Linked DNA regions of Rattus norvegicus. The protein of the gene in region 1 purifies or fractionates together with the protein of each later gene. This does not show direct contact. Links are inferred from orthologs where the notes say so. Each region holds a gene or a part of one and is shown on either strand. Other genes may lie near its edges.

Region 1 (3,808 bases):
GTGGCTCCTGCTGGGTTATCCCAGAATCTTCTTTTCTACTTTTACAGAGCACAAACTTCAAACATAAATCTTAGTCTGATTTTAGCATTTGACTTGCAACTGAAATAAAAATACTTGTTTAATGACTCTCATGTTTTACCTGAGACATTATCTCATTTTCAGGGCGGATCTTTAAAACTACCAGTGAATAGCTTTGCGCAGATTCATCAATCAGATTCTCTGGGACTGAGAGCCTATCTCATCAAACACCAAGGCAACTTAAGGACTGAGAACCACTTGTTCTACCTGGTAAAGAAGACATCTTGCAGAAGCACACACAATAATGTGAGGCCCCCAGGCTTCCCTGAGGAGGACTGTGCTTCTTCCCTCACCACTCCTGGGCACTCATGCAGAGGCTGGCTGGACCGTGGTACAGGGCAGCCCCAGACCAGCTGCATACTGCAGGGCAGAAGAATGAGCTTGTGCTTGTAGATGGTGACTATGATCAAGTAAAGCTCCATCAACCGGGCAAAGCCAAGGAGATGCACAAAACCTCTAACAGGTGATAGGCAGGCCCTGATTACAGCCACATGGCAGAAAGGCTTTAGAGCTGCTCCTATAAAAGAACTTCAATTGCCCAATGATTCCATAACTGACAGAACCCAGACAAGCAGAGTACTATACAGGGAAACTTGAAACAAAATTAACACTTAGCCTGTTGCTGTTGGAAGCATGAGAAGGACCACACTGGCTGGAGCCCGGTAGCATGGAGCATGCCACCCAGCACTTCTTATCCCTGGAAAACAGCTACACTATTTAGTCATTTGCTACAAGAGTATCCGTCGGAGAATTCACACAGACACGGAGTACACACCAATGGTATGACCAGAGGGACCCCAGCATACCTGGCCCGAGCAGTGGTGACCGATTCAGCTGAGTGCCAGCCTGGTGTGAAGGCGGCGTCTCGGCCCGGTGTGTGGTGCTGCTCAAGGTGGGGGTCGTGGGGGTGGCAGGGGCTGTGGTACTGCTCTGGATGACTGGATTGTTTCTGTCCCACATGTTTACAGTTTTATTGTTGTAGGTGCTTGGGTCCCCCCAAGCTGAGGTACCATCATCAACTTCCATTTTGCGTCGGATGGAGGGTGGGGAAGGCTCCTCCCAGCCAGTCGCCTCACTGCTGTCCTTCTGCTTGACTGGCAGTGGCCCCCCAATCCACCCCGTCCCTGTCTGCTTAACAGAAGCAGCTCCCCCCCAGTTACTCACATTGTTGTCTTGGGGCTTGTGAGCCCAGTTCTGCTGGGGACCAGGCTTGAGAGACTCCCCCCAGTTTGTACCTGGATTCACCTTAGCATTGGTGCCACTGGCCCAGCCACTGGTCCCACACCTCGTGGCATCATTCCAACCAGACCCTGACCTACTACCATCAGCATCCCATCCAGATCCACTTTTCTTTCCATCCCCTAGATGTCCAAGGACAGATGGTGAGTCTGCCCAGTCTCCTGCTCCTGCACTCCAGGCTGGGTTTGCTCTTTGTCCATCGCCCCAGTTTTGGGATTTGGGTTTCTGAGGCTCACCCCAGGTGGGTGACTTGTCCTCTTGGTTTACAGTCCCACTCCAAGCATGGCCACTCTTGGTGGCAGCAGCATTGTTAACAGCAGTAGAGCTTATTGAGTCCCCCCAAACTCCTGGGCCACTTGGCGCTTTGTTGTTGCTGTCTCCCCAGCTTGTGTTTGCTGGCACGGCGGCAGGTGGCGAGCTGACCCACCCCGATACTGAAGAGGTATTTGTACTGTTCATGATGGACCCATCAGTCTTCCCCCCTGAGTTTGAAGGCTGAGTAGCTACACTACCCCAGGCCTCTGTCCCATTGTCATTTTTCCTTTCAGACCTAGGGGACTCTTCAAATTCCCAGGCAGTGTTTTGCTTTACGGGAGTCTGTCCCCAACCACTATTAGACAGAACTCTTGGGTCAAGATCATTCCTTGGCAACTGGATGTGCCCTTGGTCTAGAACCCCTTTGTCTCGCCTCCGGCCCTCTCCTGCTCCTTCCCTCCCAGTGCTTCCTTCATTGTGACTGCCGGACCCCTCACTGCTTCCTTCACTTGCTGTAGTTCCAGAAGATGTGGCTTTGGCCCATGAGTTCATGTGTTCACTGCCAGGCTGCAGGGCAGGGGTCTGGCTGGCAGCACTGGCACTGTCCCACCCTGTTGATCCTTTCCCATTGATGTCACTACTGGAATGCTGGTTTGGGGGCTTCGCCCACTCCCCATTCACACCATTAGAAGAACTTCGGCTGGGGTGGCCCCAAGCTCCCGAATGGATATTCCCAATGCCGTTGCCATTGCCCCTTCCCCAGGCCAGGATGCCAGGCCCTGCAGGAGGCCCCGAGTCCCAGGCGTTCCCTCCATTCCCCTCCTTCTGCGCAGCACTGCTGGATCCATTCTGCTTAGCACTTAATGCTGAGTTCACAGTGTCTCCTCCATTCCCCTGACTGAACCCACAATTGGTACTTCCTGTGGCAGGGTTGCCAGGGGACAGTCCCCACACAGAACTGCCCATTCCTTCCCCACCACTCCCACTGCCTTGAGAGACTGATGATCCGTTAGCACCAGGAAGGCCTTGCAGGTGGGGTGGGATGATGGCCCCCATACCAACAGCCATGCCCCAGTTTGGCAGTCCGTTTGTCTGCATTGCATTGATAGGGTTTGGTGAAGAGTTATTCAAGGGGTTAGTGTTATTTGGTCCATCAGTGTTAAGGTTCTGAGGTTGTACGCTGAAAGACACATTCTGAGAAGTGGACGTTTGTGGTTCTGTGCTCTCTTGGGGCAGCAAGTTTCCCCAGGCACCCAGGGTGCCCACTGGGTTCCCATTCTGGCTGCCCATACTCTGACCTATGGCACTGACTGGACTGCAAATACTGGAAGGGTTGCCTGTTGCCACAGTTCCTTCATGCCCAAGTACAGGCCAGGCAGCTGGGTTGGCATTAGGATTGAGGCTGAGATTAATGCCCGCATTGGAGTTGGAAGCACCCCAGCAATTCTGACTTCTCCCATCTCCAATCATGTTGTCCATTTTCCCATCTCCACCACCAACAGAGCAGTGAGCCAGGCCAGAGCTGGAGCCGGTGGCTACACCCCACACTCTGGCCATGCCCCCATTCCCATTGGCTGCTCCTGCCCCAAGGGCACTCGGGTTAGAAGGGCTTTGGACGAGTGTGCCATTGGTGCCATGACTGCCATTCGTCTTCTTCGGGTGGCCGGGGAAGCTGCTCTGGGTGCTCCCTGTAGCCATGCTACTGTTCTCGGAGCCACAGTTGGAGGCAGAGTCAGTGTCGGTAGGACATTCTGAGGCAGATTCAGTCTCTGTTACTGGGGTGGACGGCCACAGCTCTTGGTCAGTCCTGTCTATTATCACTTTATCCCAGCTGCAGTCTGCTTCACTTCTGTAAGAGGGATGCTGTCCCCAGTGACAATTTTCATAGTGACCTGCCAATCCACTGTGACCAAGATCTGGAAAAACAAGAAACAAAACTCAAAGTTACACTCTCCTCCCACTGCCAATGAAGCAACTCGTTTGGGGAGAAAACTAGCCTTTTATTTCCTATTCTCAATTCTAAATCAGAAAACACGGACCAAGCCTTATGGGGCTGTGGGTGTGGCTCGGACGTGGAGCACTTGCCTAGCACATCTAAGGTCCTGGGTTCCATCCTAGGACTACAAAAACAAACAACAACAATAACAACCAACCAACCCACCCCCTTAAAATCCCACGTTTCCTTGACGTTATCAAGATGATAGGACTGAGTGTGCAGGAGACAGCAACCAACATC
Region 2 (4,447 bases), on another chromosome or scaffold:
ATCCGATGCCCTCTTCTGGTGTATCTGAAGACAGCTACAGTGTACTTATAATAAATAAATAAATAAATAAATAAATAAATAAATAAATAAATAAATCTTTAAAAAAAAATAAAAAAAAATAAAAATTTCCGAATCTTATGAGGAGTACCTGGTGTGATGGTTACTTTACAATTCAGTGCTGTTGCTGTTGTCATTTATATATGACGTTCCCCTCCCTCAAAAGCCTCTAAATAGGAGGCCAGGACCCCAGTCTTTGCGAGTGGTAATAGGATTCCACCAGTTTGGAACTATCCTTAGATTCACCCACTAGCAGAGTCGTAATTTGATGCATCATTAGGAAGCAATGGAAAATAAGGACATGGAGCCCAGTGGGAGTAAGAATCTCAGTGGAATGTGCCCTTGGAGGCTCTTTCTTCTTCCAGTTTCCTCTGCTTCTAGCCACCAGGAAGTCAACAACTTTACTCTATAACTTGTGCCCTGGCACAATGCACTGCTTCACCAAGGGCCCCAAAACAATGGAACCAAGTGACCCGGGACTGAAAATTCTGATACCTGAGGCAAAAATCCATTCTTCCTCACTTAAATTCTCCTTCAGGGTATTTATCACAGAAGCAAAAAGTCTAACACAAATGCCTCTGGTGTCTGTTTCCCTCCATGATCTGAACCTCTGTTATTATAAATACTGGTTATTCCCTAGAAGGGAAAGGAAGGATGGAGTACGTGCTTCTGGAACCCAAGGCTGAGGTCATTGAACAAAACCAGAACCAGTTCAGGGATAAATCCTTTGCTTTATCCAAAGACTGCAGCAAGGATACATAGAGAGACTCTGTCTCAAAAAATTAATCAAACAAAAATCTGTCAAGATATATGGCTGGAGATGCCTGGGTCGTTAAGGATGGGTATTGTTTTTGCAGAGTTCTTGAACATGAATCTAAACCATTGTGCTTAGTAATAGTGATGCACCAAGCTGATGTCTTAGATGTGACCTACATAAGTTAACTGTTGCAGGATTCGCAACCAGAGAAACCGGATGCATAATGCAGGAACTCTGAATTTTCCAACTTGGCTACAAATAACAAAATGGCTGAGACTTTTTTTTAAAAAAGGCTTTTATATGGGGGGGTGGCCTCTAATAACATCTCCCTCATCCTCATTGTTGTGGAAAATCGGTGAAATAGTACAGGCCATGTGAGATTAAGCGATTAGCGTATAGACATCAGGTGTGATACCCGTCATTTTGGTGAAATGCGGAACAAAATGCCCTTCCCCTTCCGTGTTTCACTCAGGACCTGCACTAATACACTTCCGGCTTTGCACAAGGACCCGCTTCCGGGGCCGCGGCTAGCCCTAATTCCCACGCCCAGCTGGCCTTCCAGCTGGCCCCGCCCCGGAAGTACTGTCTTCCTTGGGCGCTACAGAACGGAAGCCGTGGATGGCGGGGAAAACAGTCCTCCACTGGCGGATGTGTTGGTGCTGTTGCTAGACGACGAACAGTGAGTTCGTCACTTCCTCAGCCCGTGGCCCGCCCAGGACCGAACCAGAGGCGACCGAAGCCGGCTTGAGTTGAAGAGTTTTCCCCCGCCTACAGGACCCGCCACCAGCCCGGCGGCGGGAGTCAGGGCCACGCCACCTGCAGGGAAGAACTCGAGCCGAGGCGGGAAGATGGCTGCAGACAAGCCTGCAGGTGAGGCGCCCGCGCCGCGACCCAGGGGCTGACACACTGCGCGCGGAGATGGCAGGGCCCGCGTGGGGGACTCCAGGGCCACTTGACTTCACTCGTATATTTCTGCCCCTCACTCTTCTCAGCTGTCCCTACTGTGAGTCCTGTGGGTTTTCTACTGTGACCCGTCTCGATGCCACTGCAGACCATCCTTGCCTTGCTCTCCAAGATAATTCTGCCCCAGAAAGCTCAAATTTGTCACGCCGCTTTCCAGAGGCATCAGGGGAAGGTCTTCCCGAGCTTACACGGTTGCCGTAAGGTCCCCAGGCTCAGCCACTGAAAGTTCCCTCTGGTCAGCGTGTCCTGTGGAATCCTTCTGAAAACCGTTTAAATAGACGTGACGTTTAAGTGTGTCTTCTGCCTGCTGTCACTTAACCTTGTTCGCCATTTGATTTTTCTCTAGCTACTCAAGATTAACTTCTTTTTTTAAAAAAAAATCTTGGGGTTGGGGATTTAGCTCAGTGGTAGAGCGCTTGCCTAGCAAGCGGAAGGCCCTGGGTTCGGTCCCCAGCTCCGAAAAAAAGAAAAAAGAAAAAAAAAAAGAAAAGAAAAGAAAAAGAAAAAAATCTTAATTATGTGTGTGAGTACAGGTGCCTTCAGAGACCCGAAGAGGACGTTGTGTCTACAGGAGCTGGAGTTACACAGTTGTGGGCCACCACCTGTGGGTGCTGGGGACCTACTTTTGTCCTCTGCAAGAGCAGCAAGTGCTGTTAATGGCTAAGCCATCTTCTTTCCAGCTCCAAGATTAAGTTCTTAATCTCTAGGGTTTTCTGTGGTGCCCCCTCGGGAATTTTTCCCCTTGGGGAATTATAAATTTCTAGCCCACTCATTACCTGGAAAGTCTGCTTTATTTCTTTGAAGAAATTAATACTCTGTGCTAGCTGCCCTGGGAGTTTCCAGGGGCTTCGATTGTCTTCACTGCCTGTCCCTCTCACTGGGAATGCCACTGTGTCTGGGCTCTGACGATCTAGACTCGGGGTAAGACTGAGCATGTTTACCCATCAGGCTATCTCCCGGTCTCTCACTGCTCTTCATCTTTTTTCTAAATAGTCATCGTGTGTGCTGCTTTCCTCTCTATAGACTTTCCAAGATTGTCTCACTGGTTAGCCGCTGAGCCCTTACTCTTTAATATGGTTTACGAGCTTTCAAAATTGGGTCCTCTGTAGGAGCAGTAATCCTCCACCCCTGAGACATCTCTCCAGCAGCTGCTTGTTAATTTTCTTATTGTACATTGTCTGTCTGCCTGTCTGTCTATCAGAACACAATCCTTAATACACGTCTGGAGGTCAGAGACTACCTGTGGGAGTCAGTACTCTCCTACCAATTCTCTCCTTCCAAGAACTGAACTTGGGCTTGGTGCCTGAGAAGCCTTTTTGAGCCTCAGTGTCCCTTTGTGTACAGTAAGCATGCTGACAGTGTCTTTCTCCTAGAGCTAGTGAAGGCTCAAGTGACATCAGCTGTGGCTTGGTTTTGGTTGGTTTGTTTTTATACTTTTTCTTTTTTTTTTTTTTTTGGTTCTTTTTTTCGGAGCTGGGGATCAAACCCAGGGCCTTGCGCTTCTTAGGCAAGCGCTCTACCACTGAGCTAAATCCCCAACCCCGTTTTTATACTTTTTGAGACAAGGTCTCTCTAATAGCTTTGGCTGGCCTTTAAGATTTTCTATTCAGGGGGCTGGGGATTTAGCTCAGTGGTGGAGCGCTTACCTAGGAAGCGCAAGGCCCTGGGTTCGGTCCCCAGCTCCGAAAAAAAGAACCAAAAAAAAAAAAAAAGATTTTCTATTCAGACCAGCCTAACTTCAAATTCTCAGGAACCCATCTGCCTTTGCCTCCCAAGGGCTGGAATTTTAAAGGCATGCACCACCATGCCCAGCCTTTTGTAATTTTTGCTGTTGGTGGTAGTGGTGAGTTTGGGTTTTTGTTGTTGTTTTGTTTGTTTGTTTGCTGTTTTTCAAGACAAGGTTTCTCTTGAAGCCCTGGCTGTTAAAGAAACTCCCTCTGTAGACCAGGTAGCCTCAAACACAAGAAATCCACCTGCTGGGCTGGAGAGATGGCTCAGCAGTTAAGAGCACCCGACTGCTCTTCCAGAGGTCCTGAGTTCAATTCCCAGCAACCACATGGTGGCTCACAACCATCTGTAAGGAGATCCGATGCCCTCTTCTGGTGTATCTGAAGACAGCTACAGTGTACTTATATATAATAAATAAAATAAATCTTTAAAAAAAAAAAAAAAGAAAGAAAGAAAGAAATCCACCTGCTTCTGAGTTCACCTCAGAGGGCTGGGATCAAAGGAATGTGCTGAGGCAGCTGGAAACACCACCACCACCACCACCTGGCCTTTAAATGTCTGCTAAGGGCCTGTGAGATGGTTCAGTGGGTAAAGGTGTTTTCTTTCAAGCCTGACACCCAGAGTCCCATCCCCAGGACCCATGTAGTAGAGGAAAATACTGCCTTTTCCAAGCTGTGTCTGACATACACACTCAAGTAAATAGTAAGCGCCAGCCTGTGTCTCTTTACGGTGATGTTAAAGAGACAGAAGAGACATGTTAAGTTTATTTGGAAAGTGCCAGGGTCTGGGGAGTGAAGGAGAGATAGCAATAAGGGGAGACACGGTATGTTCTGTCCCTGCTATTGATCCACCACCAGCTCTGAGAAGCTGTGGCAGTCACTTCCTGTGCAAGGTTTTTTCATGGAGCCTCAGCCAGGGCCACACAGCCTCTAGAAGCAGTTT

Evidence for each region.
Region 2: the proteins of Tnrc6c (region 1) and Cnot10 purify together in Homo sapiens (co-immunoprecipitation; 3 studies listed by BioGRID and IntAct, with this or other methods). This does not show direct contact. The link is inferred for Rattus norvegicus from reciprocal best matches to the Homo sapiens genes TNRC6C and CNOT10.

Annotation. Positions count from the first base shown.
Region 1 is NC_086028.1:103,432,753-103,436,560, reverse strand, and holds part of Tnrc6c (trinucleotide repeat containing adaptor 6C), read right to left. Parts: intron 3,489-3,808; coding exon 885-3,488; intron 863-884; exon of another isoform or gene 1-862. UniProt on the Homo sapiens protein: Plays a role in RNA-mediated gene silencing by micro-RNAs (miRNAs). Required for miRNA-dependent translational repression of complementary mRNAs by argonaute family proteins.
Region 2 is NC_086026.1:123,205,258-123,209,704, reverse strand, and holds the start of Cnot10 (CCR4-NOT transcription complex subunit 10), read left to right. Parts: upstream 1-1,537; 5' UTR 1,538-1,662; coding exon 1,663-1,684; intron 1,685-3,475; exon of another isoform or gene 3,476-4,447. UniProt on the Homo sapiens protein: Component of the CCR4-NOT complex which is one of the major cellular mRNA deadenylases and is linked to various cellular processes including bulk mRNA degradation, miRNA-mediated repression, translational repression during translational initiation and general transcription regulation.